Anolis sagrei: one gene and its partners. Each later gene encodes a partner of the first gene's protein in a complex. Links are inferred from orthologs where the notes say so. Each region holds a gene or a part of one and is shown on either strand. Other genes may lie near its edges.

What was found.
Region 2: TMEM237 (region 1) and TMEM17 share a complex: the UniProt entries of both Homo sapiens proteins name them as parts of the tectonic-like complex. The link is inferred for Anolis sagrei from reciprocal best matches to the Homo sapiens genes TMEM237 and TMEM17.
Region 3: TMEM237 (region 1) and CEP290 share a complex: the UniProt entries of both Homo sapiens proteins name them as parts of the tectonic-like complex. The link is inferred for Anolis sagrei from reciprocal best matches to the Homo sapiens genes TMEM237 and CEP290.
Region 4: TMEM237 (region 1) and AHI1 share a complex: the UniProt entries of both Homo sapiens proteins name them as parts of the tectonic-like complex. The link is inferred for Anolis sagrei from reciprocal best matches to the Homo sapiens genes TMEM237 and AHI1.

Annotation. Positions count from the first base shown.
Region 1 is NC_090021.1:164,682,958-164,690,805, reverse strand, and holds the start of TMEM237 (transmembrane protein 237), read left to right. Parts: upstream 1-4,617; 5' UTR 4,618-4,717; coding exon 4,718-4,735; intron 4,736-7,848. Other genes in the region: MPP4 (MAGUK p55 subfamily member 4), read left to right, coding at 356-547. UniProt on the Homo sapiens protein: Component of the transition zone in primary cilia. Required for ciliogenesis.
Region 2 is NC_090021.1:152,383,216-152,391,984, reverse strand, and holds the start of TMEM17 (transmembrane protein 17), read left to right. Parts: upstream 1-5,547; 5' UTR 5,548-5,634; coding exon 5,635-5,740; intron 5,741-8,769. UniProt on the Homo sapiens protein: Transmembrane component of the tectonic-like complex, a complex localized at the transition zone of primary cilia and acting as a barrier that prevents diffusion of transmembrane proteins between the cilia and plasma membranes.
Region 3 is NC_090025.1:152,526,011-152,533,852, forward strand, and holds the start of CEP290 (centrosomal protein of 290 kDa), read right to left. Parts: upstream 3,420-7,842; 5' UTR 3,118-3,419; intron 736-3,117; 5' UTR 717-735; coding exon 615-716; intron 1-614. UniProt on the Homo sapiens protein: Involved in early and late steps in cilia formation. Its association with CCP110 is required for inhibition of primary cilia formation by CCP110.
Region 4 is NC_090021.1:80,413,396-80,421,177, forward strand, and holds the start of AHI1 (jouberin), read left to right. Parts: upstream 1-4,603; 5' UTR 4,604-4,680; exon of another isoform or gene 4,681-4,684; intron 4,685-7,782. UniProt on the Homo sapiens protein: Involved in vesicle trafficking and required for ciliogenesis, formation of primary non-motile cilium, and recruitment of RAB8A to the basal body of primary cilium.

The DNA of each region.
Region 1 (7,848 bases):
GAGTTAAGAGCTCAGTCACAGAACAAATTAAACTCTTGTCAAGGTATCACTGTATCATACATGGCACTGAAATGCAATTAAAAACTAATACATATTTATGTTTTTATGCATATTTTAATCTATATTAATGTAAAGTGTACTTATATTTGGTTCATTATTATTACATACTATTTACAGCTTATGAAATTAAACAAAAACATATCAGAGTAACTATTACTCAGAGATACATATATTGACATCTTATGAGAATAGATGGTGTGTTGATTTTGAAGTCAACAGCAATAAAACAATTCCACTAGGTTCAATATCATTTCAGGAGATGACTTTAGCCCTTTTGTTCAATTGCTCTCTATAGGAAGAAGACTTGCAGGAGATGGAAGAATCAGCTAAAAAAATGGAAACTCAGTTTGGCCAATTCTTTGACCAAGTGATTGTGAATGACAACTTACAGGAAGCTTGTCTTCAGTTGCTGTCTGCTGTACGTCGAGCACAGGACGAACCTCAGTGGGTCCCAGCAACATGGATTTGCTCAGAGAATCAGCCATAATTTCCAAGACTAGACAGATTTACACTGATTGTATAGAGTTCATGCTTCACTACAACATTAATCATAATGCTGGGACTGCCAGATAAAATATATCTTTGTTTAAAGGGATTTTGGAGATGATTCAAGCAAGAAGCTATAAAATTCTTGGACATAGTCCATATCACTTTGAGCCAGGAACTAAAGCTTAATAAACCAGCAACTGAGCAAGCAATATGCTGATGCAATTCACTCCTTTTTGGTGTAGGGAGATAAACAAAATATTTTTGGGGTTTTTTTTGTCTAAACCAGTGGTTCTCAACCTGTGGGTCCCCAGATATTTTGGTCTACAACTTCCAGAAATCCCAGCCAGTTTACCAGCTGTTAGAATTTCTGGAAGTTGAAGAACAAAACATCTGGGAACCCACAGGTTGGGAACCACTGGTATAAACAAACTAAACTAGACAATTATAGTAGTATTATATTGCTTTAATTGCCACAGTTCCACCTTACGGGGTCCTGGGATCTGTAGCTTGATGTAGTATTTACTGCTTGTGATGGCAGAGATCTCTAGGGCTGGAGTTCAGGATAGTTCATTAGAAAACCGTCACCACCCAAATCCTGTGGGATGGAGTCATGGCCATTAAACTGTGGATGCATGCCAGAATCCACAAGGCAGTAGCACACCTCATTTCACTGTCTGGTTTATCAAACCAAAACTCATGGCTTAAAGTGAAGAGAAATGAAACCACTATGTGATGTGGTGTCCTTAAACACTGTGTATTCAGTAACATTAATTTGGTTCCAAAACACTGTTAGGTTGTAGTGTCAGAATGTAATGTAATTGTTATGGGGAAAAATTAAAAGAATTTATTTTGTTGCATTTATCTGTTTGAGCCAGTTGTAGTCATCATATTGTTTTCCACATTTGGGGATTTTGTAAGATTTCTTCTCCTTTCAGCATTCAGAAGTTTGAGAATTCCCTCCCGCCCCCAAAAAACATAAGTTAACAAGACAGTCTTTTGTGCTATAAACTATCTCTTCTTGGTTGTTGACAGTTATTTAGTGGGAATGACACCAAGGAAGAGGAGTTTTCTTTGCATTCATTTCTGGCCTTGGCCAATTCGCAAACATCAAGGTTCCAGGATCACTTTGTGACACCATGTGACCCACAGAAGGAAAAGTGCTGCAAGAATGGCTGTTAGTCATCTCAAGATGCTCCAAGGATTAGGGTTAGGGTTATTAGTCAATCAGCTCCTGATTTGTCTGATAAAACCTTGGGACTTTAGGCGATCCCTCGCTATTCGAGTAGGATTGTCTTCCAAGATTGGTGTACTGGAGGTGGATCCGTAGGTGGCTGTGGAGCCCTATTCTTGACCTGCATCTTCTCCCGCAGTGAGGGCATTGGTTTCCAGGTGGAAGGCGGTCCCGGTTGGAGTTGGCTTGATATGCCTTCCTCTTGGCACGTTTCTCTCTTTCACCCTCCATTCGTGCCTCTTCTTTTTTTTTTTTTTTAATAATTTTTTTATTGATTTATCACATTTATTACATACTATTGCATTTTATACATCAACCTCTTTAACATGTTGTTTTATTGTTTTGCTTTGACAATTCCCCTCCTTTTCTCTTTTTTTTTCCTTTTTTTTCCCCCCCGCCACAGTACTCCCCTCCACCCGTCTCAAGCCACCATTCTTACATTTCATCTGTCCAAAATTTCATTTCTTCTTGTGACGGTAATTTTCCTTCCTTATTTTTTAATCCATTCGTGCCTCTTCAAATTCTATAGCACTGCTGGTCACAGCTGACCTCCAGCTGGAGCACTCAAGGGCCAGGGCTTCCCAGTTCTCAGTGTCTATGCCACAGTTTTTGAGGTTGGCTTTGAGCCCATCTTTAAATCTCTTTTCCTGTTCTCCAACGTTCTGTTTTCCATTCTTGAGTTCGGAGTAGAGCAACTGCTTTGGGAGACAGTGGTCAGGCATCCGGACAACGTGGCCAGTCCAGCGGAGTTGATGGCAGAGGACAATCGCTTCAGTGCTGGTGGTCTTTGCTTCTTCCAGCACGCTGACATTTGTCCCCTTGTCTTCCCAAGAGATTTGCAGGATTTTCCAGAGGGAGCACTGATGGAATCATTCTAGGAGTTGCATGTGTAGACAGTCCACATCTCACAGGCATCTAGCAGGGTTGGGAGGACAATAGCTTTATAAACAAGCATCTTGGTATCCCTACGGATGTCCCGATCCTCAAAGAGGACCTAATCTACAACTGAAACTTGGTGCCGTCCAGAGGGCAACTTGGTGACTGACATTGTACAACAATTCCTTGAATATAAACAGATTGTAACAGCTGGCTTAGAATGTAATGACATATCGCACATACATATGTATTTATTTATTTACAGTATTTACATACCACCTTTCTCAGCCCTTGGGGGGGCTCAAAGCGGTTAAATGTTTTTCCCCTGACATTAAGTCCAGTCGTGTCTGACTCTGAGGGTGTAGTGGTCATCTCTATTTCTAAGCCGAAGAGCTGGCGTTGTCCATAGACACCTCCAAGGTCATGTGGCCAGCATGACTGCACGGAGCGCTGTTACCTTCCTGCCGGAGTGGTACCTATTAATTTACTCACATTTGCATGTTTTCGAAGTGCTAGGTTGGCAGAAGCTGGGGCTAACAGCAAGAGCTCACACCGCTCCCCACATTCGAACCAGCAACCTTTTGGTCAGCAAGTTGAGCAGCTCAGTGGTTTAACCTGCTGTGCCACCGGAGGCTTCTTAGTAACATTATGTGACATGATTTTTGTTCCTGGGTTGTAAATGTCATTTCCTTTTTCTTTTCTTTCAAAAAGATAATACACCAACCATATATATTGCAGAAATATACAGGGTTAGTCAAAATGCATAGGCCAATAAGCCATTCAATTGAATGGCTTATTGGCCTATGCATTTTGACTAACCCTGTACACATACACATACACATACGTAGACAACCCGCCACCCACAGTAGTTACCCCTCAACCCACCCCCAGTGCTATCCGCCACCTTGGCTTCTGTCACTGATCCCCGCAGGATTTATGCACATCTTGTTTAACCCTCTATACTTCTAATTCAATAAATTCCTCTTGTTTTTATTTCTTTAGCTCTCCCATCAAGTATGCTAAGGCCAGCTTCCAGTTTCTTTCAAATATTTCATGACTTTCATATTTTAAATTGCTAGAAATCTTAGCCATCTGTGTGTAATCCCACAGTTTATCCTTCCAATCATTGATGCTTAATGTTTTCTCCCCTTTCCAGTCTTTGGCAATTGTAATGCGTGCAGCCACAAAGCTGTACAAACAAAATTCTCTCTCTGGTTGTTCAGTGTGTCCCCAGGTGTTTTGGCCTACAACTCCCAGAAGTCCCAGCCAGTTTACCAACTGTTAGGATTTCTGGGAGTTGAAGGCCAAAACATCTGGGGACCCACAGGTTGAGAACCACTGATCTAATCTATCCCTGAATATCCCTAATAGGCACATCCCTGGGTTCTTTTTTTTTACTTTGTTGTGAATCATTTTATTTGTTTCCTTTATTATTCTTTTCCAATAGACCTGCACCAGTTCACAAGCCCACCATCCATGAAAAAAGTCCCTTTCTTTGTTTTGCAATAAATGTCATTTCCTAATTGGTTCTATTATAAAAAAACATGGGGAAAGTTGATGAAATTGCAAAAACTTTGTTTTGGCGGGACATTCTGCAGCACATTTTGCTGTAGTCTTTCAATGACTAGGCTGGATCTACACTGCCATATAACCCAGATCATCAAAGCAAGATAATCCACATTGACTGCTTTTAATAGTTTTCCTCACAACTGAATAAAATCCTACTTGGAACTGGGATATATGGCAGTGTGGACTCAGGTATTCCAGTTCAAAGCAGAGATTGTGGGGTTATTCTGCCCTGATATTCTGTGTTGCTTAGTTGTCAACACATCCAGATGGCATTGGAAGAGTTGGGTCTGTTTACTTGCCTGGTCTTGCAATCTCAGGGTTGCCATGAAATCCTTTGGAGGGGTTTCCCTGGCCGAGTGTTGCGATTGGGGGAGGCCTTGGTGACGTTTTTTGGACTTCCTTCCCTTCCCTCCCTTGGAGACCGGGAGGCGTCGCCTGCCTGGGAGAAAGAGAGAGAGAGAGAGAGAGAGAGAGAGAGAGGCCTGCAGCGCCATGGAGACCGCCCGCCCGGTGAGGGGAATGAGAACACGCTCTCGCCGCGCGATAAAAACCCTGTCCGCACCGGGGCTGAGGAGTGGAGGAGGGGAAGGGCTCCCCCGCAGAACACCACTCAAGACCATCGGATGGGGCCGCCGCCTTAGCTGCCTTCAAGCCTGTGTCTCTACACCAGGCCTGGGCCAACTTAGGCCCTCCCTCCAGGTGTTTTGGACTTCAACTCCCACAATTCCTCACAGCCTCAGGCCCCTGGGCCTGAGGCTGTGAGGAATTGTGGGAGTTGAAGTCCAAAACACCTGGAGGGAGGGCCCAAGTTAGCCCAGGCCTGCTCTACACAGTTTGTATTCTGAGGTATCCATCGCCATCTCGCTTTTGTGTGTGTGCCTCCCTGAAGAGAGATGAAGCAGGCCTCCCTCTATACTGCTGCCCTAATCATGCAGATTGAACTGGATTATAAAACAATGTAGACTCTTCAATACAGGCAGCCCCCAGGTTACCAATAAGAAAAGTTATGTAGGTTTGTTCTTAAGTTGAATTTGTATGTAAGTCGGAACAGGGACGTGATTTAAGTACAGGGTGAGGCTGCATAACTTCCTTTTTTAAAATGCGTGCCATTCATTCGTTTGAAGACGTAGCGGAGCGCTAGTGGTCTCGTTCGAGAGGCGGGAATATAAAGTTTTGTCCTGACACAGTTCAGTCGCCATCCTGCGTTGGAACAGGGAGGAGTGTGCTTTGGCCATTGAGGCCTACTTTTCAAGCAGATTTGGAGTGGCCAGCCCACTCTCCAGAGTTGGCCCCTTGTGATTTTTTTTCTATGGGGTTTTTTGAAATCCCGTGTTTATGTGAACCGTCCAAGGACCCTACAAGATTTGAAGGCCAACATCCAGGAAGAAACTGCCAACATCACACCTGCTATGCTGGCAAGAGTCATGACCAACGCCAAAAATCAGTTTACTCAGTGTATGGAAAATGGGGGACGTCACCTACCTCATTTGATCTTCAAAACGACGTAAAAGAAAACTTTACGTTATAAATTTTTTTAAAAAAATTCTGATTCATACAATGGGTTTTATTAAGTTTTGAAAAAAGGAAGTTATGCTGCCTCAGCCTGTGTAACTCCAGCCATATATACCCACACACATATATACTGTATTTTCTTATGCTATCTAAAGCTTGCATATACATGTGTGTGTAACTCCAGACAAATGTGTGTGTATACAAATACACATACACACACATATATATACACACATACACATATATACATGCATACACAAACACATGTACACACATATACACACATACATATATATATATACACACACACATATATATATACACACATACATACATACACACAGATATAGATACATATATACACACATATGCACACACACACACACATATATATATACATACATAGATATACACACAGATATGTACACACACACACATGGATGGAGTTACACTTAACTTCATCCAGCCAAGTATATGTGTGTGTGCGTATACACACACACAAATAATAATAATAGAAAATGAACACACAAAAATACTGTGGAACTTTCGAATCTGGACTGACAAAGTTTTGGAACACAATACACCAGACATCACGATTGTAGAAAAGAAAAACGTTTGGATTATTGATGTCTCCATACCAAGTGACAGTCGCATTGAGGAAAAACAACAAGAATAACTCAGCCATTATCAGGACCTTAAAATCAAACTGCAAAGGCTCTGGCATAAACCAGTACAGGTGGTCCCAGTAGTCACTGGCACACTGGGTGCCCTGCCAAAAGATCTCAGCTGGCATTTGGAAGCAATAAACATTGACAAAATCATGGTCTGTCAACTGCAAAAGGCCACCTTACTTGGATCAGTGCGCATCATTCAAAAATACATACGCTTGGGAAGTGTTCGACTTGTGATTTTTTTGATACGAAATCCAGCATATAGGTCTCGTTTGCTGTGACATGCTGTGTTTTTGTGTCAGTACAATAATAGTAATAATACCTTTAACTTTGAAGGAGCTGGGGGTGGCCATGGCTGAGAGGGAACTCTGGCAAAAGCTGGTCCATGAGGTGACCAAATGAATAAACAACAACAATAATAACTTTATTTTTGTATTCCGCCTCCATCTCTCCGAAGGTACTTGGGGCGCCTTACATGGGGCCAAGCCCGATCAAGACAGTTAAAATATGACACATTAAAATAAAACAACATTATAACAGAATTAAACAGGCATCACATATGGAGTTTCACAAATATATATATATATATATATATATATAGAATTGAATAACTATCGTCATTGTGCTACTGCACAAAGAAATTAGAAATTTCCATAAATGCTTTCCCCAGCACACACTCATCACTCCACAACTCACACAGCCCTCAATGCCACACCATTGTGAAACCCAGAATATCCTACAATATCTGCCATATATCCCAGTTCAAAGCAGACAATGTGGGATTTTCCACCTTGATATTCTGGGTTATATGGCTGTGTGGAAGGGCCCTTTGATTTATGGCAACCTTGTAAATGAAGTATCTCCCTGCCATCAATAGCCCTGGCCAGACCTGACAGACCCCTTCCACAGCTTCCCACATTATCTGCTGGGATATATAGCAGTGTGGACTCAGATAAACCGGTTTAAAGCGGATATTATGGGACTTTCTGCCTTGATATCCTATGTGGAAGGGCCCTCTGAGCCTTCCCTATACTATCCAAAGGATGCATGCTTTTGTGTGTGTGTGTATGAAGTTGCAATTAAATAATATATTTGTTCTGACGCATACAAATTCAACTTAAAATCAAACTTATAGAACCCAACTTGGGGGCTGCTTATATTATATTTTTGCAGTACATTCAGCCATGCTACTTATATGTGTCATGCAGAACCGTTTTCTTCACAGTTATTCAGTATGCTTTATTAGACTTTATCATGACCATGTTGCCCCCTGTATTGTGTCATTGTATGCATACATTTGTTTAGAAGGAAGTCTCGCTGAATTCAGTCTACATCTGAGAGTCATTGTGATGTGCTGGCTTTAGTGTTGGACTACAACTCTGGAGACCATGGTTCAATGCCACTTGCTCTCAGCCCCAGAAAACAAGTCAGAAGTGACTC
Region 2 (8,769 bases), about 12 Mb from region 1:
GGATCCGAGAAGGAACTTAATGCTGGCTGGGTAAGTTTTAAAAACTTTTAAGAGTTCTTTTGGGGTTATGGGGAGGGAATGGGTGCCAGTTTTTCAGGCTCATGGAGCCCAAAAAACCAACACGACTGTGTGGATTGGGCCTGGGGATCGTGTGAGCCCCCCCCCCCCCCACATAGGGGGTCTCAGTTACTTCAGCAGTAAACTCATAGGATTTAGATGAGAAGGAGGGGGGGGGGGAGAAAGGCTTATTTCTTGGTTACAGTACAGTGTAGAGATGTGATCCCTAGCTTATATCAAAATGTGTTTCAGTCTTAACAAGTCTGAAAAAAGCCAACTGTATAATCTGCCATAAAGCAGATTATTACAATTAACTGCATTGAATTGGATTATATGAGTGTACACTGCCTTCTATGGCACTGTAGATCCAGCCTAAGACTTGAAATCATCAAAAGTAATTCACATACTGGAGCTCTCTCATCTTAATTCATGGTGCCATCCTTCCCTCCACAACTGAGGTTCTACAGATCAGGGAAGCAGAAATCATGACTTCATGGCTAGTCATACACTGAGATAGGCAAATTGGGGGGGGGGGGGGGGGGGATCTGTGGGGTTCTGCTGCAAATGCTTCTCTCAATGCACCCTGCAATCACAGGAGTGCTACTACTATCAGTTTCTGTCACCCTAATCTGCTGTTTCAGAAACCCACTGATTGTGGTACTGCATAGATGTGAATCTCCAAAGTTACAAGATCCTAAGAATGGCCTACAGTCTCATAGATACTGAACAAGAATACCAGCCAGGTCCTATCATTCTACACCTGTTAATGAACAACTAGGAGCAAAAGTAAAGCAAAATATGTCATTTTTTAATTTAGGAAAAGCCCAAAACACTGTCAGGTGCTGGGGCATGGTAATTCCATCAAGAGTACTTGAGGGAGGGTTTAACTTTTCTTTCACCAGCACCACGCATTTGATTCACTGGGATCACAACTAGGAAGGAATTGATGATAATTTGTACCTCACTTTTCCCCCCAGGACTGGGATCCAAAGTAGCTCACAGCCTTTAAAACTATACAGTTTCAAAAGCTATACAATATAAATGTTAATATAGAATTAAATATTAGAATGATTAAATCAATGATAAAAACTAGTAAAACTGTTAAAATAATTGCTAACTCCATGCAGCACCCCTGGCCTTGCTCTTTAAAACTTCCTGTTTTAAAAAGCCTTGCTAAATAAAAAGGTTTTAGCCTGCCACCGGAAGGACAGCAAGGAGAGGGCCATTCTAACCTCTCTATGGAGTTCAATCCCCCTGCCGTGCACACTGTGGCTCTAATGAAAATGTTTTAGCTTTTAGTAGGCTGGATATTATTTATTTATTTATTTATTTATTTACTTTACTTGTATACCACAGTTTCTCAGCCCAACAGGCGACTCAACGCGGTTTACAACAAGGATAAGAATCAATCAACGATATACAATTTAAAACCATAAAAGCATAATATACAATATTGACACAACAAAGACAACACAATGCATCTCATAACTAGAGTCGTGATCCAATCCGTCGTCCAAATTTCCATTCCTGTAATCATCACATTCATTGCACTGTATAACCGAATGCCCGTTCAAACATCCAAGTTTTTAATATGTATTCTAAGCTGAGTTTGGCCCTAATAGATAGTCCCTTTCAGTTTCATGGCTTGCAATCATATAGGGTGCTGTTATTTTGCAGCAAGGGTTCCAAAAGCTATGTACAGCCAATCACCGAGTCCTCGACATCCGACTTACATACAAACCCCTAGTTACAGGCAGGCAAGAGGGGGCACCAGCAGCACTCTGAGCCTTTGCAGTATTTATGTGCACAGGTAAAAATAAACATGTCAAGGTAAGCAACTGTCCAAGTTGCATTAAAAGTAGAACTCCATGTAGATTTTTCTTTTTTCTTTTTAGTTTTGGTTAGTATGGTCTGGGGTTGGAGCCACTGTGGGATTTATACTGCTGCATCCTCATTAGAAAGATTTAACCTCACTTTTTGTCTCTGAGACAACAGGAAACTAGTGGAAATCTACCCCCAGGAAGGTAAATCCACTCTTGTGACAGTTATCATGGGAAAAAAGGTATCTCCACCGAAGCTTTAGCAACAATCCTTGTTGCCATAACAACCCAAATTTTTCAAAAACCATTGTCACAGTGACAGAAAGTGAGGTGAAATCTTCTGAACAGGGGCATAGACAGCAAAATAAACGTTACAGAGCTGTTAGCCCTTCCCTATGCTATTCAAAAATAAAATAAAATAGGCTAGAGTTGCACTTATAAATGTCCCTGTTCCGACTTACATTCAAATTCAACTTAAGGACAAACCTACATAACCTTTCTTGTCCATAAACTGAGAACTGCCAATATATCACAAGGAAATCTCAGCACAAGACAGTTAAATGCATCACTCTAAGACAAAGATTGTAGGATGCAATCTGCATAATTCATAACACAGGAAAAGCTGGAACACTGAGAGAACTACTTCTAAATTTCAGCCCATGCATTTTTGAATGTTGCAGGGGCAGATGGAAGTAGAATTATTATAAAATATAATAATACTACACATAGCTATGTCTTTTTGCTTTGAGCATGTACCATATACCTACCATAAATTAGTATATCTCATCAGACCCTTGAGATGCTTTTCACGATTCTTTCTTTAAAAGTCTTTTTGTTATTAAAATTAAAACAATGCAAAATATCTTCTTATATTTGATTGCTTATAATGGCTTTTGCATGGACAGCTAAATTGGAATTACCCATCAAAGACTGTACTAACTCTAGTCAAGACAGTATGACTGAAAATAATACACCTTTGTACCAACTCCTACCAGTCAATAATATTGAACGGAGTAAAAAAAAAAGACTGGGACATTTGGCTTGCCAATGTCATAACAAATAGCAATATGTGATATTATGTGAAACAAATCAGGGTCTCCAACCAGGCCGGATCAGTTGCACTTATTCTTCTGAGCCAGACAAAGCGTTCGCTGGGTGTTAAAGTGATGGTGACATAAATAGAAGAGCGGCTGACAAACCGATCTGCTGGCATTCAGCCCGTCCTTTTCACAGGTTCTTCACAATGGGTGGGAGAAGTACTTGGAGGATTATGTTATCAGGATGCCCTGAGACAAGAAATCTGGCAGTGGTTTGTCAAGCTAGTTGCATCGTTTGTTTTATTATCATTGTTTATGAAAGTACATTCCTCTTTTTCTGAATATAAAATTAGTATTTGAGCAAACTTCTTGAAGAGATGCAAATTCTTGGGAATCAGACATGTTTCCACAACTGGAAAATTTCAAAACTAAATTGCAATGCACAAGTTGCTCATAGACTTGGTTAGGTGCAGGATGGGGTGAGGGTTGATGGCTTCCAAAACGTAGATCAAAGGGTGCATGTACATTGTATAATTAATGATGTTTGACACCACTTTAAGTGCAATGGTTCAATGCTATGGAATAATCAAAACTGTAATTACAAACTATACATCTCAATGAGGTCTAAAGCCAGAGCAACCCCCACTGTAGGATCTGTGCTGTTTCTAGTGTCATCTGCCCTGTTTTTCAGTGAGCTTCAGAATACACTGAACATAACTGCACACTGCCACTTTGGCAGAATTGGCCACCTTCAGAGATACATTTAATTAAGTAGCAGAGGGATACTAACAATGGTGGAATCTTAAGCCTCTTGGCTTTGCTATGCTTAAGTGCACTTGTACAGGCAATCCCTGAGTTACAAACATCCGACTTACAAACAACTCATAGTTAACAGCAGGGAGTGAGGAATTTACCTCCAGGAAGGGAAATCCGCTCTTGTGAGAGTTATCATGGGGAAAAGGTGTCTCAACTGAAGCTTTCTCACCAATCCTTGTTTCCACAAGCCATTTCTTTCAAAATCAAATGATTAAGGGGACAGAAAGTGAGGTGAAATCTTCTGAAATCTTCTGAACAGAGGCACAGACAGCAAAGCAAACATCACACTCTGCTATGAAAAGCATATTTATTTATTTATTTATTTCAAAATTTTCTATACCGAGCTTCTCACCTCTCAGAGGGACTCAGCCCGGTTTACAACCATAAAAACATACAATCAGTAAAATATCATAGTTCATAATTACAATAACACATTTAAAATAACAACTATATTTAAAACTACGGTGGTCAGTCATCAAATTAAAAACAAGTATACCTCATCTTCCATACACAATCCTAGGGTGCTGTCTCATTCATCGAAAGCCTGTCTCCACAACCACGTCTTCACCCGTTTCCTGAATGTCAGGATAGACGGGGCGGTTCTGACCTCCAGTGGGAGAGAGTTCCAGAGTCGCGGGGCCACCACCGAGAAGGCCCTGTCCCTCGTCCCCACCAGGCGCGCTTGTGAGGCCGGTGGGACCGAGAGCAGGGCCTCTCCAGACGATCTTAGTAATCTTGATGGTACGTAGGGGAGAATACGTTCGGAGAGGTAAACAGGGCCGGAGTCGTTTATATATATACACATACACACATCATACATATATATATACATCTATAAATGTACACACACATATACATGTACACATGCCCATATATATATATATATATATATATGGCTGGAGTTACATATAAGACATTTACTTGTTCTGATTTACATACAAATTCAACTTAAGAACAAACCTACAGAACCATCTTGTTCGTAACTTGGGGACTGCCTGTACTTCTGAAATGCCAAATATTAAAAAAAATGACACAGCTGAATAAAATCCCACATTATCTGCTTTGAACTGGGATATATGGCAGTGTGGACTAGGGGCTCTTCCAGACAGGCCCTTTATCCCAGGCTCTGATCCCAGGTTTTCTGTTTATTCCAGATTATCTGGCAGTGGGGACCCATATAATCAAGTTTAAAGCAGAAAACCTGGGATCAGATCCTGGGCTATAGGGCCTGTCTGGAAGGGCCCTCAGATAACCCAGTTCAAAGCAGGTATTGTGGAATTTTCTGCCTTAATATTCTGGATTATATGGCTGTGTGGAAGGGCCCTGGGACTCTGTTTTGATTTTGCCAAGCTGCAATTTTACGACTTCATAGTATTACTGCCGGATATCCCTAAGACCTAAACTGAGGACCATGTACAGACTTAGCTGAATAACTAACGAAATTAAAAGGTTCTATATTCGTCTTCTAAGGGCCCTATATCCCAGAATATCAAGGCAGAATAACCCACAATATCTGCTTTGAACTGGGATATCTGAGTCCACACTGCTATATATTCCAGTTCAAAACAGATAGTGTGGGATATTACTCAGTTGTGTGGAAAGGGCCTAAGGGTTCATTTCTCACTACTAAAAGCTTGTCTGGGGCTTCAATTCTTGGGCTAGGAAGAGTAAGCAAAGTCTGCCACTGAAACCCAAGGTTTGTCTCACTTTAACAGCCTATGTTCGGGGAGACTTTTCCCGCCACGCGGCGCCCTCTCTGGCTGAGAGACACTGTGTGTGGGACTGGCCCAGAGGACCAGGTTTCTGAAGGAGCGACTCTGCGCCTGCGCCTAGGCTCCCGGCCACGCCCCCTGTTGCTACGGCAACGAACGACGGCGGCAGCGGCTGCCTGTCTTTAAGGCCTCATGTCCCTACCGGAGCCGGTCAGGCGTCGGCTCAACTCTTTCAGCCGCACGGTCTTTACTGACAACAGCCGCACGGGGCCCGAGAGCGGAGGCGACGACGTTCCGGGTGAGGGGAGGGGCGGTGTTTCGCCAGCTCCAAAGATGGCGACGAAGGTGGCAAGGGGTTGGAAAGGAGCTTGCCTCAAGGCAGAAAGGGTGGACGGTGGCGCGAGGCCTTGTGCGTCGTCGTTTGACCTGAGAGCGCGAGGAGCGGCACGCGCCAGTAAAAAAAAAGGAGGGAGGGGGAGGAGGAGAAGCCCCTCCCTTCTTGGTCCCCACTCTCCCTGCTTACTGGTCGGACAGTGCAGCCCACGCCGGGTCTGCGGCCTAACACCCCAACTTCTTGTTCCTGGCTCTTCGGAAACAGCACACATTTTTCCTAAAATTGTTCTACAATACCATACAATCCATTTCAAAGCAGATAATCTGGGGGATCTTCCAGACAGGCCCTATATTCCTGGATCTGCTTCCAGATTTTCTCTTTATCCCAGATTATCTGGCAGTGCAGACTCATATAATCCAGTTTAAAGCAGAAAACGCGGAATCAGATGCTGGGATATAGAGCCTGTCTAGAAGGGCCCTCGATTATATGGCAGGGTATAAGGGGCCTTAGGAGCCCCCAGTGGCACAGTGGGTTAAAGCGCTGGCTGAGCTGCTGAGCTTGTTGACCGAAAGGTCACAGGTTTGAATCCGGGGAGCGGTGTGACCTTCCGCTGTCAGCCCCAGCTTCTGCCAACCTAGCAGTTTGAAAACATGCAAATGTGAGTAGTTCAATAGGTACCTCTCTGGCAGGAAGGTAACAACGCTCCATACAGTCATGCTGGCCACATGACCTTGGAGGTGTCTATGGACAACGGCGGCTCTTCAGCTTAGAAATGGAGATGAGCACCACACCCCAGAGTCAGACACGACTGGATTTAATGTCAGGGGAAAACCTCTACACACAACACTGCTGGAATCGTGTCAGAAGTAAATTAAAAATTTGTTGTTGTTCATTCGTTCAGTCGTCTCCAACTCTTCGTGACCTCATGGACCAGCCCACGCCAGAGCTCCCTGTCGGCCGTCACCACCCCCAGCTCCTTCAAGGTCAGTCCAGTCACTTCAAGGATGCCATCCATCCATCTTGCCCTTGGTCGGCCCCTCTTCCTTTTGCCTTCCACTTTCCCCAGCATGATTGTCTTCTCTAGGCTTTGCTGTCTCCTCATGATGTGGCCAAAGTAATTAAGAATTAATTACTACAATTATATATATATATATATATATAAATGTAATGTTCGTTTGTGGGATTAACAGAACTCAAAAATCACTGGACGAATTGACACCAAATTTGGACACAAGACACCTAACAACCCAATGTATGTCCATTAAAAAAAAAATGATTTTCTCATTTGGGAGTTGTAGTTGCTGGGATTTAGCGTTCACCTACAATCAAAGTGCATTCTGAACCCCACCAATGATGGAATTGAACCAAACTTGGCACAGAGTTCTCCTATGACCAACTGAAAATACTGGAAGGGTTTGGTGGGCAGTGTCCTTTGGTTTTGGAGTTGTAATTCACCTACACCCAGAAAGCACTGTGGACTCAAACAATGATGGATCAGGACCAAACTTGGCACAAATACTCAGTATGCCCAAATGTGAACACTGGTGGAGTTTGGAGAAAATAACCTTGACACTTGGGAATTGTAGTTGCTGGGAGTTATAGTTTACCTACAATCAAAGAGCATTCTGAACTCCAGCAACGACGGAATTGAACCAGTCTTGGCACACAGAACTCCCATGACCAACAGAAAATACTGGAAGGATTTGGTGGGCAGTGCCCTTTGGTTTTGGGGTTGTAGTTCACCTATATCCAGAGATCACTGTGGACTCAAACAATGATGAGTCTGGACCAAACTCTACACAAATACTCAATATGCCCAAATGTGAACACTGGTAGAGTTTGGGGAAAATAGAATCTTGACATTTGGGAGTTGTAGTTGCTGGGATTTATAGTTCACCTACAATCACAGAGCATTCTGAATCCCACCAACGATAGAATTGGGCCAAACCTCCCACACAGAACCCCCATATGGGCCACAGCAATGCGTGGCAGGGGACAGCTAGTAATGTATAAAAAACAAAGTTCAAAACTTGGCATTATATTAAATTTCCTTTGACCAGAGGCTGGCCATTTGGAGTGCCTCTGGTGTCTTTTTAATTTTTTTTTATTGATTTATCACAATTATTACATACTGTTGCATTTTATACATCAACCTCTTTAACATGTTGTTTTGTTGTTTTGCTTTGACATTTCCTCCCCTTTTCTCTTTTTTTTTTCCCCCCTATTTTCACCTCAGTGCTCCCCTCCACCCGTCTCAAGCCACATTTTTTACATTTCATCTGTCCAAAATTTCATTTCTTCTTGTGACGGTAATTTTCCTTCCTTATTTTTTAATCCATTTACCACAAATTTTCCCCATATAGCATCAAAATCACTTTGTTTCCATATACCTTTTTAAACCTTTAATATACATGTCAGTTTGTCATTTAATGCTATTTTCCATGCTTCCTTGTACCACTCCTCTATTCGTATATTCATTTCTTTTTTCCAATTCCTTGCTATGAGCAGTCTTGCTATAGTTAGTAAGTTTGTTATCGCTTCTTTATCCTCCTTTTTCAGTTGCTTATTGGTATATAATGATAATAAGGCTATACTAGGACTTTTGTCTATTTTCATATTCATTATACTTTCTATTTCTCTAAATACTTTCTCCCAAAAATTATTTACATATTTACATTGCCACCACATATGTATATATGTTCCTGGTTCTTTACATCCTCTCCAACAATTTGTTGAATTGTTTTTATTCATATATGCTATTCTTACCGGTGTTAAGTACCACTTCCATATTAACTTGTAATAATTTTCTTTAACACGTATCGATAGGTTTTTTAAATGTCTTTGTCCCCATAACTGTTGCCACTCTATTTCACTTATTTTTATCCCTAAATCCTCTTCCCAAATCTCCTTAAGGGTACTCTTTTTCATTTTCCCATCCTTCATTTCAATTAGTATCTTATAGATTTTGCTAATTATACCTCTCAAGTTTCCGT
Region 3 (7,842 bases), on another chromosome or scaffold:
GCTAATAAATAACTTCCATGTACTGGCAGTCCCCTAGTTATGAACAAGATAGGTTCTGTAGGTTTGTTCTTAAGTTGAATATGTATGCAAGTTGGAACAGGTACATTTTAAAGTGTAACACCAGCTATATATAAGCCTAGCATAGCATAGAGAAGGATTAACACCCCCGTGGTGTTTGTTTTGCAGTCTGTGTCCCGTTCAGAAGATTTCAGCTCACTTTTTTCCTGTGATAATTAGATTTTGAAAAATTTAGAAGCAAGGATTGGTGATAAAGCTTCAGTAGAGACACACTTCCCCATGATAAATCTTTAAGGATTCAATTCCCCTTCCGAGGGGCAGATTTCTCTCACTTCCTGTTGTCTCATCCCCATTCTTAACTTTGAGTCGTTTGTAAGTCAGATGTCTGTAACTCAAGGACAGCCTGGATTATCAAAAAGATCTTCTATTTCTCCTTTTGCTAATCTTTGCTTATACATTAGCTTTTCTGATAGCTAATGAGACTCAAGTATTCACAGATTTTGGTATCCACCTACAGAGTCCTGGAACCAAACCCTAGCATATACCAAAGATCCACTGCATATTTATACAACACATTGAATCCATTATGAGAATACCTTGGCTACTGCCTCCAGCAAATTATCTGCAAGTTCCTCTTGACGGGGCAAAGCATCAGGATCTACTCTCATAAGCTTTTTCCATTCTAAAATAGGTGCCATCTTGAGTGTTCATTTATCTCTGTAGATTAGAAGAAGAAAAGCTGTATGAACAGAAACATATGCACAGCTTATTGATCTACTTTTAAAGCGGAAATCTTCAAACAATGAGTCAGGGTGGGGGTGGGGGGTGTGAATGTTGCAACTGATCACCTTGATTAGCACTGAATAGCGTTGCAGCTTCAAAGCTTGCCTCCTTCCTACCTGGGGGAATTTTTTGTTGGGTAGTGATTAGCTAACCCTGACTGTTTCTTGTCTGGAATTCCCATTTTTGAGTGTTGTGTGGCCCAATCAACAATTGGGCCACAGAGTTTACAGAAAACCTACACACATGGATAGATACCTACATAAAAACTCCAAACATCACCCAAGTAAAAAAGAAGAAGAAGAAGAAGCACAATTAAAGCTCTGGCAGACCATGCAAAAAGAATCTGCGAACCCCACCTTCTCCAAGATGAACTGAACCACCTAAACCGGGCTCTACAGGCCAATGGATACTCCACCACAGACATCAGAAGAGCTGCAAGACCGAGAACAAGCCACGAGAGTAAAGACAAAGATCCACCCAGAGGAAAAGTGTTCTTGCCATACATCAAGGGAACCACTGACCACATAGGAAAGCTGATAAAGAAACACAACCTACAAACTATCTACAGGCCCATTCAGAAAATCAAATAAATGCTATTTCCAGCAAAGGACAAGAGGGATCCTCTCACTTCTGCAGGAGTCTACTGTATACCATGCAGCTGTGGATAAGTCTACATAGGGACCACCAAAAGCAGCGCCCAAACACGAATAAAGGAACATGAAAGGCACTGCAGACTGATTCAGCCACAGATGTCAGCCATAGCAGAGCACCTGATGAACCAACCTGGACACAGCATATTATTTGGGAATACAGAAATGCTGGGCCACTCTCACAACCACCATGTCAGGATACACAGAGAAGCCATTGAAATCCACAAGCATGTGGACAATTTCAACAGAAAGGAAGAAACCACAAAAATGAACAAAATCTGGCTACCAGTATTTAAAAACTCTATAATCAGGATGGTAAATAGAGAGCAACACTCAAAAAACAAAGGAATTCCAGAAAAGAAACAATCAGGGCCAGCTTTTCTTTTCTTTTTGGTTGTGTCAGGAGCAAGTCGCTTCTGGTGTGAGAGAATTGGCAGTCTGCAAGGACGTTGCCCAGGGGATGCCTGGATGATTTGATGTTTTTATCATCCTTGTGGGAGGCTTCTCTCATGTCCCCGCATGAAGAGCTGGAGCTGATAGAGGGAGCTCATCTGCCTCTCCCCAGTTTCGAACCTGCGACCTGTCGGTCTTCAGTCCTGCCGGCACAGGGGTTTAACCCACTGCACCACCGGGGGCTCCAGGGCCAGCTAACACCTCCCATCAAAGGAGCCCCCCAGGCAGGAAGCAGCCAGGCTTTGAAGCTGCAAGGCTACTCAATGCTAATCAAGGTGGCTAATTGTAACATTCACACCTGCCTCAAGCAGACAAAAAGTTCTTTCTCCCACCTTGGACATTCCACAGAAATATAAACTACACTTGCTTAGTTTCCAACAGATTTCACAACCTCTGAAGATGCCTGCCATGGATGTAGGCGAAACGTCAGAAGAGAATGCTTCTGGAACATGGCCATTGTTGTTGTTCATTCGTTCAGTCATCTCCGACTCTTCGTGACCTCATGGACCAGCCCACGCCAGAGCTCCCTGTCGGCCGTCACCACCCCCAGCTCCTTCAAGGTCAGTCCAGTCACTTGAAGGATGCCATCCATCCATCTTGCCCTTGGTCGGCCCCTCTTCCTTTTGCCTTCCACTTTCCCCAGCATAATTGTCTTCTCTAGGCTTTGCTGTCTCCTAATGATGTGGCCAAAGTACTTCAACTTTGTCTCTAGTATCCTTCCCTCCAGTGAGCAGTCAGGCTTTATTTCCTGGAGGATGGACTGGTTGGTTCTTCTCGCAGTCCAAGGCACTCTCAGAACTTTCCTCCAGCACCACAGTTCAAAAGCATCGATCTTCCTTCACTCAGCCTTCTCTAAGATCCAGCTCTCACATCCGTAGGTTACTACAGGGAATACCATGGCTTTGACTAGGCGGATCTTTGTTGCCAGTGTGATGTCTCTACTCTTTACTATTTTATCGAGATTGGACATTGCTCTCCTCCCAAGAAGGAAGCGTCTCCTGATTTCCTGGCCACAGTCTTCATCTGTAGTAATCTTTGCACCTAGAAATACAAAGTCTGTCACGGCCTCCACGATTTCTCCCTCTATCTTCCAGTTGTCAATCATTCTTGTTGCCATAATCTTGGTTTTTTTGATGTTTAGCTGCATCATACATACATGGCCATACAGCCCAGAAAACTCACAGCAACCCGATAATAATAATACGAATAGTACCTCGATAGTTTGCGCAGGGCCCGGTACTTTCTCTTAAACTGTCAGTAGGTTTACTTCACAGAGAATGGCTGAAGGGCGGCAGGGCCTTCACCCTAAGCCTTCCTTGGGCGACCACAAGGCCTCGCGGCTGTAAAACCGACACCTTCAAAGGCAGCGCTGATCCTGCTCAAGCGTCTCCCGCCCTTCCCGCTCACTCCCCTTTCCCCTGGCTTCCGTTGACAAAGAGGAGGAAGGAGGAGGAGAGATGGCCGTTGCTGGGCGACGCCATCAAACACTTCTCTTCCGGGCTCAAAAGAACCCGGATATTCTTTAACCTCCCACAAAATGTCCTGCCGAAGACTACGCTACCCACAGTGCTCTACGCACTACCGAGAGGCGGACTTTCACAACATCGGCCGCTTAGCATGCTGGGACGTGGAGTTTTTTCCCCCCAGAGCGGCTTCTCAGCATGCTCTGTCGTCACGCCGTAGGGGGAGACAGAGTCAGCGCCTGCGCAGTGCGAGAGGGGAGTCTCCAGTTGCTTTTTCATGTTCAGGGGCTGGAGAGAGACATGGTGGAAGAGATGCTCCAGCAGAGCCTCCGAGTTAATGTGGGAAGCAGGGCTGCTTGTGCCGGCTTCTTGCCAAGGGCGGTAATGTGCTAAAAGGTAAGGAGAGGGTTCCTGGCATCTTTAGAGGGAGGAAGAGGGTTTAGAAAGACTCAGGGCGGTGTAGTAGGGCTGCCCCTGTTTTCTGCATCTCACAAGGCTTACCTGTATGTTAAGTGAGAGGAATGCTTCCATCTATTGCTAGAGGTGGCCATCGCAGAAAAAAAGTGGGTGGTTTCCCATGAAAGTGTTCACACGTGACGCTGGTGAAGACCCGTGTTCAGACCCTACAGTTTGAGTATCCTTCATCTGAAATGCTTGGGACCAGATATTTTTGGATTTTGGAATATTTTCATATTCATAACTAGCTGTACCCGCCACGCGTTGCTGTGACCAACCTTCCCTCCCTCTTTCTCTCCTTCTTTCCTTTTCTTCTTTCCTTCTCCCCTTCCTTCCTTCTCTGCCTCTTTCCTTCCTCCCTTTTTCTTTTCCTTCCCTTTCTCACCTTCCTTCCTTCCTTCCTTCCTTCCTTCCTTCCTTCCTTTGCTTTTTGCTTCCATCCATCCTTCTCTCTTTCCTTCCCTCCCTCTTTCCTTCGCTCCCTCTTTCCTTCCTTTCCTTTTTTCTTTCCTTCTCTCCTTCCTTCTTTCTATCCCCCCTTTTCTTTTCCTCTTTCTTTCCTTTCTTCCTTCTCTACCTCTTTCCTTCCTTCGCTCTTTGCTTTCATTCTTCCTTCTCTCTTTCCTTCCCTCCCCTTTTCACTCTTTCTCTTCTTCCTTCGCTCCCTCTTCCCTTCCTTTTCTTTTTTTCTTTCCTTCTCTGCTTCCTTCATTCTCTACCCCTTTCTTTCTACACCCTTTTCTTTTCCTCTTTCTCTCCTTTCTTCTTTCTCTACCTCTTTCCTTCCTTCCTTCGCTCTTTTCTTCCATGCTTCCTTTGCTCTTTCCTTCCTTCCTTCTTTCTATCTTTCTTTCTTTCTTTTTCCCCTTCCTTCCTTTCCTCCCTCCTTCTCCTTTTTCTGTATGTCATTTAGCTTTTTGTCATTTTGCTTTGGGGGGGGGGTTTAAATCCTTTCCACTGGTTTTTTTTTGGGGGGGGGGGAGGGGGTATGAGTGATGGTCATTCATTGGTTTGTTAGGGGTTCATGTAACGGCATCGAATTGCTGCCTATGTAAGCCATCCTGAGTCCCCGTTTTGGGATAGAGAAGAGACAGGATATAAATACCAGAAATAAATAAATAGTGTCCAAATTTTGTGTCATTTCATCTAGTGGTTTTTGAGTTACGTTAATCCCACAAACGAGCATTACATTTTTGTTTATATAGACTAGCCATCCCATGCCACGCGTTGCTGTGGCCCACGTGGGGAGTCTGTGTGGGAGGTTTGGCCCAATTCTATTGTTGGTGGGGTTCAGAATGCTCTGTGATTGTAGGTGAACTATAAATCCCAGCAACTACAACTGCCAAATGTCAAGATTCTGTTTTCCCCAAGCTCCACCAGTGTTCACATTTGGGCATATTGAGTATTCACGTAGAGTTTGGTCCAGAACCATCATTGTTTGAGTCCACAGTGATCTCTGGATGTAGATGAACTAAGCTCCAAAACCAAAGGACAGTACCCACCAAACCCTTCTGTTGGTCATGGGAGAACTGTGTGCCAAGTTTGGTTCAATTCCATCATTGGTGGGGTTCAGAATGCTCTTTGATTGTAGGTGAACTATAAATTCCATCATTTTTTTTGAGTGAAGGACATACATTGGGTTGTTAGGTGTCTTGTGTCCCAATTTGGTGTCAATTCGTCCAGTGGTTTTTGAGTTCTGTTAATCCCACAAACGAACATTACATTTTTATTTATATATATGAGAGATCTTGGAGGTGAGGCTTAAGTCTACACCAGGCATGGGCAAACTTGGGCCCTCCATGTGTTTTGGACTTCAACTTCCACAATTCCGGCTGTTAGGAATTGTGGGAGTTGAAGTCCAAAATGCCTGGAGGGCTGAAGTGTGCCCATAGAATCATTGAGTTGAAAGAGACCTTGTGGGCCATCCAGTCCAACCCTGATGCCCATGCCTGATCTAGACACAAAAACCATATATATTTCATATACCTCTTTGACACATAGCTTTAAAGTATATGATGTGATATATTTTTAAATAATTTTGTTCATGAAAGAAAGTTTGTGCACATTGATCCAATAGAAAGCAAAGGTTTCACCCAAGTGGGCAGTTTCAGATTGTGGAGCATTCAGGACAAGGATCCTCAACCCGTATCACTAATTATCCAGTTATCGATTGCTTTGAGAGCTCACATCCAAAGGGATATAATCTGATGGATGCTCTCTTGGAAATGAGCACCAGTGTGCACAGTTGGGATTCCTTGTAAATTAGTGGAAGTCTCCACTGCTGCCTACCGTTCATCTGAGGCTAAAGGGGTCTGAATTAATTGTTTGTACCTGAAGTAGCCTTCAGAAGAAAAGTAAAAATTTGGCTGTGGGATCAGGCTAACCGAGAATAGTGCAGTGCAATATTAGCAATGGCCATGGAACGGCTTTGGACTATGATTTCTGGATGGTGTGATTTTAATATTGAATGTAATGCTTTTAAATGCTTAATATATATATTAATTTTAATTTAATTTATTTTAGGCTTAATGTTTGTATGAATAAGTGCCCTTGAGTCCCCTTCGGGATAGAGAAACGCGAGGTATAAATAGAACATAGACATAAGATTAAAAGGTATTAAAATCATTCATAAATGTCACTTTAAAATTCATAGTTTAAAATTGATTGGGTAGGCCTGTTTTGAATTCTAACAGCTTTACCTGTCTTCTAGCAGATCATTCAACAGTCTATATAAGGAAGAACACAATTCCTTGTATGTGGTTCTATGTAGATTCATGAAGACTTGGTGATTGTCAGTCATTCAGTTTGACTCTTATCTTTATGAGTATTTGAAGAGACATGTTTCATACATTTATGCAAAAGTTGTTCTGATCGATGGCTCCCTTCTCCCACAAGTGTCATTGAAATGAAGAATCTTAGCTTGACAGTCAAAAATACTCTGTTGTTTTGCTTGATCTGTTATCATAAGCAGCCTTGAGTAAATTGCCTCAGAAGCGGCATCGTAATTGAGCTTCTCAATAATGCTGAACTAGCAGGCTCTTTCTAATGGTCTGCTTTCATTATTTATGTGATTGTTAGCTGTGTGCAATCATAGGCCTGGAAAATAACAATCTGCTACATATAAATATTTGTGATTTCATCCTGTCACTTCTCAGATAGTTTTTAAGTACTTTTGAATTGTTTTCCTTTTCGTATCACAGACTCTTGTACCATATTATTAATGTGCCTTGAAGCCCATCTGAATTCAAAACATAAAAGCACAGGAACAGTTTTATGTATGGCCCATGGACGTGGTCAGTACATGCATTATTGAGAATACAGCATACTTCAAATGTACATTTTATCTTCCCATATGTCATATGTACTACTCCAGCATTCGACACTTTTTTGTTTCCTTAATTAGTAACCTGTAGTCTTCCAGGCAGCACGACTAGTAGTCTGGGATGAAGGAAACTGGTCCAACAACAGCTGGTCACAGATTTCCCAGTTCAGTTCTATATTCTGTGCTAATTTTTCTTTTTCTTTTACCTTTGTAAAAGGTAAAAGCATTTTGTAATACTTCTAAGGAGGATTTTAAGCAGGCTGGATGGTCATCTGTCACGAGTGTTTTGATTGTGTATTCCTGCATATCAGGTGGTTGAACTGGATGGCCCTTGTGGTCTCTTCCAACTCTATGATTCTAAGATTGTATGTTGTTTTATCATCTTGGCATGTGAAAAAAATCACCCTATACATTGTATTTCGAAACAGATGCTGTCTCCTAAAGTTTTTGATGTATTTTTGATCATTTTCACCCCACTTTCCTTTTTGTAAATTCCCAGAGCAGCATAACTGAAACGAGCCATATAACTAAAAAGCTGTTTAGGATTAGAAGTTACACAACAACAGTCAAATAAACAAAAGTTTTTAAAGTTTTTATTTTAAAAGACCATAAGTGGGATCATCCAGTGAGGGTAGTACTGAGCCATAGCACTACTATTTAAATGGCTGTCCTGTCCTCACTTGCATAATGGTTTGGC
Region 4 (7,782 bases), about 84 Mb from region 1:
CAGATGACAAAATGTATTGAACTGGATGGTGATTATGTGGAAAAATAATGTAATACCTATGCTACAATCCATATAAGTTTTATTAAATTATATTTGTATTTTTAAAAAATCTTGTAACTTTGCTTTCTGCATAACAACTCATATAAGGTCAGTGCATTGCATACTGTATTTCCGCTACATATTACATAATAAATATGTCATTTATTGCATTATACAATATAATTTTCTGAGCTAATTCCAATCCAATAAGCCTTTATTGGCATATGCATAGCAAAAAGGTATAAAATACAGTACAAACCACAGAAAAGGGAACTTCACATTTCCTACACATTCAGTTCACAGACTTTGTTCAGGAATCTTGCCACTAAAAGGCAACAGTTAAAATCTTGACAATTTTAAAAACAAAATTACTTTGTCTGGATCACTGAGATAATTACAGAATTGTGAATAGAACCAGTGTATATGTAATAGAATTTTACTATTCATGTGCAAAAACTCATGGAGATGTGATTGCAAAGACCAGCAGAAAGTATGAAATGCTCTTTAAAATGGTTTCAGGAAAAATCTCAAAATTAATTTTTTGATATAAAAATCAATGAATGTATATAACTTCATTGCCACCTAGAGGACTGTTTGTAAATTACGGATACTTCTACACTGAGATTTCATCTACATTTCCTCTTCTTTTTCCTCAACGTGTGCCCCGCTTGATAACAGGGACTGCTTTACTGGTTTTTGTATTATACATTTCCTGTACATTATAATGCAGGTAACAGCATTTTCTTTTCTTTTTTAAGTCCATCATCATTATTTTCAAAATATGTGCCACATTTGGAGCTATTAAATATGTAACAAAATTTGAAAAGTTTTCTGTTTCTAGTTTGAAAATGTTATTTCGTGTTTAACTGTGCAATACTTACTTTAAAAGTAGTTGTTATACTCTAGAAACTTCATTTTTCTACTTGCCACAAACTATGTTGAATTGGTTGAGATTATTCAGATATTAATCAGGTAACTCATGGAAAAACTATAGCAAAATGTGCTGCAGGATGTCCCACAAAACCAAAGTTTTTGCAGTTTAATAAACTTTTTCTATTTTTTATGATAGAATCAATTAGGAAATGACATTTATAATATAGGAACAAAAATTGTGTTACATAGTGTTATCCATCTTAAACATAGATCTCATTCAAACTGCCATATAATGCATATTGACTGTATTACATGAATCTACACTGACCATTATAATACAGTTTTAAACTTCATTATATGCCAGTGTAAATGGGTCCACAGTTATCTAAAACCCAAAGTATGTGTATGTGAGAAGGATCTTCAACAATAATTAATGCAAATTTCCTCATGGGGGAGAGGGGATTCAAATGAATTTAATTTGGAAAATGACTAAAAAGCATAAAAGACCACCCCACATAACTTGAGTTATGTTTAAGTCTAATATCTACTACTGATAAATATTTTTAAAGTTTGGTGTAAAAAGATTAATTTAAACATAATTAAAAATACCTTTAAAGGGTTCCAGACATGTTCAGAAATATGAAAATTACAAAGAAATAAAAATGATATGTCGCTATTTTCTTGTATATGAATGGTTTAGTCACCAAAATATATTAGCAATTTAAAATATAAAACCAATACAAATTTATTTATTTATTTATTTAATTGTGTCATCAGCAACCATACCATTGTGTTACAATTCTAACAGAACAAAACAATACAAATTGTTCTGACCAATACAAATAAGTTCAAATAGAAGAATCTGACCAGCAATGTATCAAAATTCACTACGTTTAATCTGTTGTTCATTCGTTCAGTCGTCTCCGACTCTTCGTGACCTCATGGACCAGCCCACGCCAGAGCTCCCTGTCGGCCGTTACCACCCCCAGCTCCTTCAAGGTCAGTCCAGTCACTTCAAGGATACCATCCATCCATCTTGCCCTTGGTCGGCCCCTCTTCCTTTTGCCTTCCACTTTCCCCAGCATAATTGTCTTCTCTAGGCTTTCCTGTCTCCTCATGATGTGGCCAAAGTACTTCAACTCTGTCTCTAGTATCTTTCCCTCCAGTGAGCAGTCGGGCTTTATTTCCTGGAGGATGGACTGGTTGGATCTTCTCGCAGTCCAAGGCACTCTCAGCACTTTCCTCCAACACCACAGCTCAAAAGCATCAATCTTCCTTCGCTCAGCCTTCCCCAAGGTCCAGCTCTCACATCCGTAGGTGACTACAGGGAATACGTTTAATCTAGGAAGTTTTAAATTTGAGCTGTGTGTAATGTAGTTGCCTTGTAATTGAATAGGGTTCATTTATCTACAATGCAATAAATTAGAAACTCTGGAACTCCCTTCCTAAAGAAGTTAGAATGGCTCCTTCACTACTATCATTAAGGAATCAAGTAAAAACTTCCCTGTGAAACCAGGAGAACAATAGTACTGAAAATGCCAGATCTATCGTGTGCAATGTTTGAACTGCAATGGACCTGACTACAACCTAAATGAATTGATACCAGATGGGGTTTTTAATGTATTGAATGTTTAATTGCATTTTTGTTAGTCATTAATGTCCATTTTTATCATTTTATTAGATATGGCTATGCTTATGATGGTTTTGCCTACTTTTATTGCATGCTATGTTGTTGCTTTTTGTATGTAGTTTGCCGCTTTGATTTCTGAGCTGGGAAAAAAGCAGGAGAGAAATAAATAAACAAGAAACTGATTGTTTTACTGACACAAAAAGACAGTATGTCACAGCAAACGAGATCTATATGCTGGATTTCGTATCACAAAATCACAAGTCAAACATTTCCCAAGTGTCTAGGACTGTGTGATGTATTTTCAAATGATGTGCGCTGATCCATCATAAGGTGGCCTTTTACAGTTGACAGATTGTCATTTTGTCGATGTTTATTTTTTCCAAATGCTGGCTGAGATCTTTTGGCAAGGCACCCACTGGGACCACCTGTACTGGTCTTTGCAGTTCAATTAGGAGCCCCCGGTGGCGCAGTGGGTTAAACCCCTTGTGCCAGCAGGACTGAAGACCAACAGGTCGCAGGTTCGAATCTGGGAAGAGGCGGATGAGCTCCCTCTATCAGCTCCAGCTCCTCATGTGGGGACATGAGAGAAGCTTCCCACAAGGATGATAAAAACATCAAATCATCCAGGCGTCCCCTGGGAAACGTCCTTGCAGATGGCCAATTCTCTCACACCAGAAGCGACTTGCAGTTTCTCAAGTCACCCCTTACATGACCAAAAAAAAAAGTTTGATTTTGAGTCTTGACAGCGTTTTTCCTGTTGTTTTTCCTCAATGTGACTGTCACCTGGTATGGCAACATCAATAATCCAGACTTTTTTCTTTTCCACAATTGTGATGTCTTGAGTGTTATGTTCCAAAACTTTGTCAGTCTGGATTCGAAAGTCCTACAGTATTTTTGCATGTTCATTTTCCATGACCTAAGAAACTTATTATTATTATTATTATTATTATTAGAAACCAATTAATTGGACTGACCCTAGGGACTGACACAGGAACAGCAGAACAGTAGAGTTTCCTAAATTTAGGGTGCATTTGTTTATTTATATCCATCCCGCTTTATCTCTCCATATAAAGATAAAGCTGACATTAATTAAGTCTAGTTGTGTTCAACTCTGAGGGTTGGTGCTCATCTCCATTTTTAAGCCGAAGTGCTGGCGTTGTCCGTAGCCGCCTCCTAGGTCATGTGGCCAGCATGACTGCCTGGAACACTGTTATTTTCCTGCAGAAGCAGTACCTATTGATCTACTCACATTTGCATGTTTTCGAACTGCTAGGTTGACAGAAGCTGGGCCTAACAGCAGGAGCTCACCCCACTCCCCAGATTCAAACCGCTAATCTTTTGGTCAGCAAGTTCAGCAGCTCAGTGGTTTAACCCGCTGCACCACCAGGGGGCTTTGATCAGAGGTTCAAATCAAAAACATTACAACTTCAAATATATCAAAATAAAACAGTATATTATATATTATTAGTAAAGGTAAAGGTAGTCCCCTGACATTAAGTCCAGTCATGTCTGACTCTGGGGTGTGGTGCTCATCTCCATTTCTAAGCCAGTGTTGTCCGTAGACACCTCCAAGGTCATGTGGCGGCATGACTGCATGGAACGCAGTCATATATATATATATATAGATAGATAATATTATATTATTATATAATATAATTTTATATATATATATATATATATATTAGTAGTAGTAGTAATTATATTTAATATATTAGTATTACTATATTAGAGTATTATATATTATTATATTGTATTATTAGTAGCATTATATTGTATGACATCTATTGCATCTACACTGTATAGAATTAATGCGGTTTGAGACCCCTTGAATTGTCATCGCTGGAGGCAATGGAAGCCTGGGATTTGGAGTTTGGTGAGTAACCAACCCTGCTTGAGAGGGAAAGGCTAGAGATCTCCCCGGCTTCCACAGCGCGCTTAAAAGTCCTGCCAAACCCATTCATTCTGCATCTCGAAGGCGGAGGGAGAGGAAATCCTCCTGTAGTCTTATCCCGTTGAGGCTGAGTGAGCGCCAGGGCGCATGCTCGCCCTGTCCTGCTATCACGTGCCCTCCCCGCCGTCGCCTAGCAGCCGCTCGTCCCGCCCCCTTCCTCTTCGAGGTCCCCGGCGCGCGCTCAGCGGTAGGTAGGCGATGACTTGATTGGCATGTTCTGAGGGAGGGGAGGGGGGATGAGGGCGAGGCGAGGGGGCTTTGCCGTTCCCCTCCTAAAAGGTGCCCGTTATTCCCTTTCTTCCCTCAGAAGAAAAGTCTCAGTTGGAGGGCCTTCTCGCGTCCCTATGGCGAGCTTTTGTTTCCCACCCTTCCCATTTGGAGTTTAACCCAAAATGACTGTGTGTTGGGGAGGGGGGAGGGGTGAATCCGTAATTGAGAAAAACCAACAACCATAAAGCCTCCTGTGAAGGCAGCGAAAGCCTCAAATCTCAGGCTTTCTCTTTGGGGCCTCATCCCAGCCTGGATACAGTCAACACTTGCCAAGTGGAGTGAATTCGCTCTATGTTCAAAATACTTCAGCAGGGGGTGCTAGAGCCCTTTGGAAAGAGCATTAGGAAGAGGCCAAGGGTGTGCTTTAGTTTTTATGTTTTTCCTCTCTGGGATGAATTAAACCCATGGAGAGGTAGTGAGGTATGAGCTGCCTTGCCTCAGTCCCACAGAATGCTGGGGTTTGTAGTGTGTGTAGCTCTCTGACAGAAGGATGAAGGTGAAGCAACAAAGCCCAGGGCTCTAGAGCAGTAACCAACCCTCTTTGAAACTTGGGCAAACTTGGGCCCTCCAGAGGTTTTGGACTCCAACTCCCACAATTCCTAACAACCTCAGGCCCCTTCCTTCCCCCATCCTCAAAACATCTGAGGGGGTGGCAAACTCTGGAGGGCCCAAGTTTATCCATAACATTGAGCCAAATGATGTCAAACAGATACGTGGGTTCAATGAAAAGTAATGCCTCCCCCTTCGTAACTTCTCAACAGTACTGCTCTCAACCCCATCACTATTGCAAACACGGTTAATGGGGATGAGAGACAGGGCCTTCTCAGCAGTGCCCCCCCCCAGAGGGAATGCCCTCCCTAGAGATATCAGATTGGCCACTTCCCTCTCGTCTTTTAGAAAGAAAATCAAGACCTGGTTATGGGACCAAGCATTTGATCAGTGAGCAGCAAGTGGAAGAAGATCACATAACTTATGGCAATGAATTGACGCGGACTTGTTTTTGAATTTTGATTTTAATGGATGTGTCTTAATTAATTGTTTTAATTTTTAAAAATTTGATTGTACTGTGGTTGTTTTTATGATGCTAGCATCGGATGATGCTTTTGTTAGGCCGCCCTGAGTCCCCCTTCGGGGGGAGAAGGGCGGGGTATAAATATAGGAAATAAATAAATATGCGGCAGGTGCTGGCTTGTTCAGTAGACTCTCCTCTACAGTCCCATTTTGACAGGAAGCCTTAGCATTGAATGCTTGTGTTGTTATAATGTGAAGTATGGAACCCTGTGCAGACGATCGGCCAGTGCGACTTAAGCAACGTGCAGTCATTGAATTCTTGACAGCAGAAGGTGTCACCCTAAAGGAGATTCATCAGAGAATGCGAGCTGTTTATGGTGATTGTGTTGATGTGAGTACTGTAAGTCGTTGGATGAGAAAGTTTAAAGATGCTGTGGTGGGAACATCTGACTTGCATGACAGACAAAGAGTTGGACGTCCTGTGATAGCAACCACCGAGCTTCACAAGCAAAAGGTTGACAGATTGATTCAGGATGATCGTCGTATCACTCAGAGAGAAATTTCAAGCATAATCGGCATTTCACAAGAACGTGTGGGTCACATTATTGCTTTGCTTGGCTATCGGAAGATCTGTGCATGATGGGTATCCACGATGTAGACTTGAAAATTCAGAGACTGGATCTCACCACCATACAACATCCTCCATACAGTCCAGATTTAGCACCGTCAGATTTCCATCTGTTCCTGATAATGAAAGAAGATCTGCGGGGGCATCAATTTGCTTCTGATAAAGACATAGAGAGAATTGTGAGATGTGGGTTGCGGATACAGAGTGTCGACTTCTTCCGTGATGGCTTCAGAAAACTTGTTCATCATTGGCAGAAATGTATCCAATTGTCTGGTGATTATGTGGCAAAATGAATAGCAGTAGTTAAAGAGCACATTCTAAGGATTATTTCTGCGTTTGATTTATGAAAATATTCCCATCCAAACCCAAGTTATGAAGGTGGAGGCATTACTTTTCATTCAACCCTCGTACAATTCTTGCAGTGTGGCTACATTAACAACATTATATCCCACGTTTTCTCTCTAAAAGGAGACAAAGTGGCTTGCATAGCATAGGCATCACCCACTGTTTTGTTATCAATCTCTGCCTTGTGTGTGGTGTATTTGAATTTCAAACATTAGTAACCTTTATTTATATCCCACCCCCTCTCCACAAGGACTCGGGGGGGGGGGGGGAGTTTGCAACAGAATCAAGTTACAATACATACATAAATAAAAGCCAAAAAAGTCAAAACATAATAAATAACCAATAATCATAAACAAAAATCTTGAAAAATGATAAACACGCAGGTTAAGAATTATACTGGGTTTAAAAACATACTGCACCGTGGAGGCAAAACCAGTTTAAAGCCAATAGGTATTGACAAGGCTTAAAGACCACCATCATAATGAATAGTCAACCGTTTTCGAAAGCCAGCTTCCAATTCCAGATTTTTAGTTCTTTCCTGAAGTTAGCTAGAGTGGTCACCTGTATGATTTCTTTAGGGCAGTGGTTCTCAAGATGTTTTGCCCTTCAATTCACAGAAATCCTAACAGCTGGTAAACTGGCTGGGATTTCTGGGAGTTGTAGGCCAGAACACCTGGGGACCCACATTGTTGTGAATCACTGCTTTAGGGAGAGCATTCCAAAGGCAGGGGGGCACCACCGAGAAGGCCCTTTCTCTCATTCCCACCCGCCATGCTTGTGAGGGTGGCGGAACTGTGAGAAAGGCCCCTTGAAGGACCTTAAAGCCCGAGGTGGTTCATAAGGGGAAATGCAGTCACACAGATAGGCTAGACCGAAACCCTAAAAACATTGCCAGAATGTTTTTAGTTAAGATGGTTGCTTAAAAAAATAGAGATTATTTGTAATGAAATGTAACACATCATTGATAAGTTTAAGTTTGTTGTTGTTGTTGTTGTTGTTGTTGTTGTTGTTTTGATTACTGGCTGTTTCATTTTT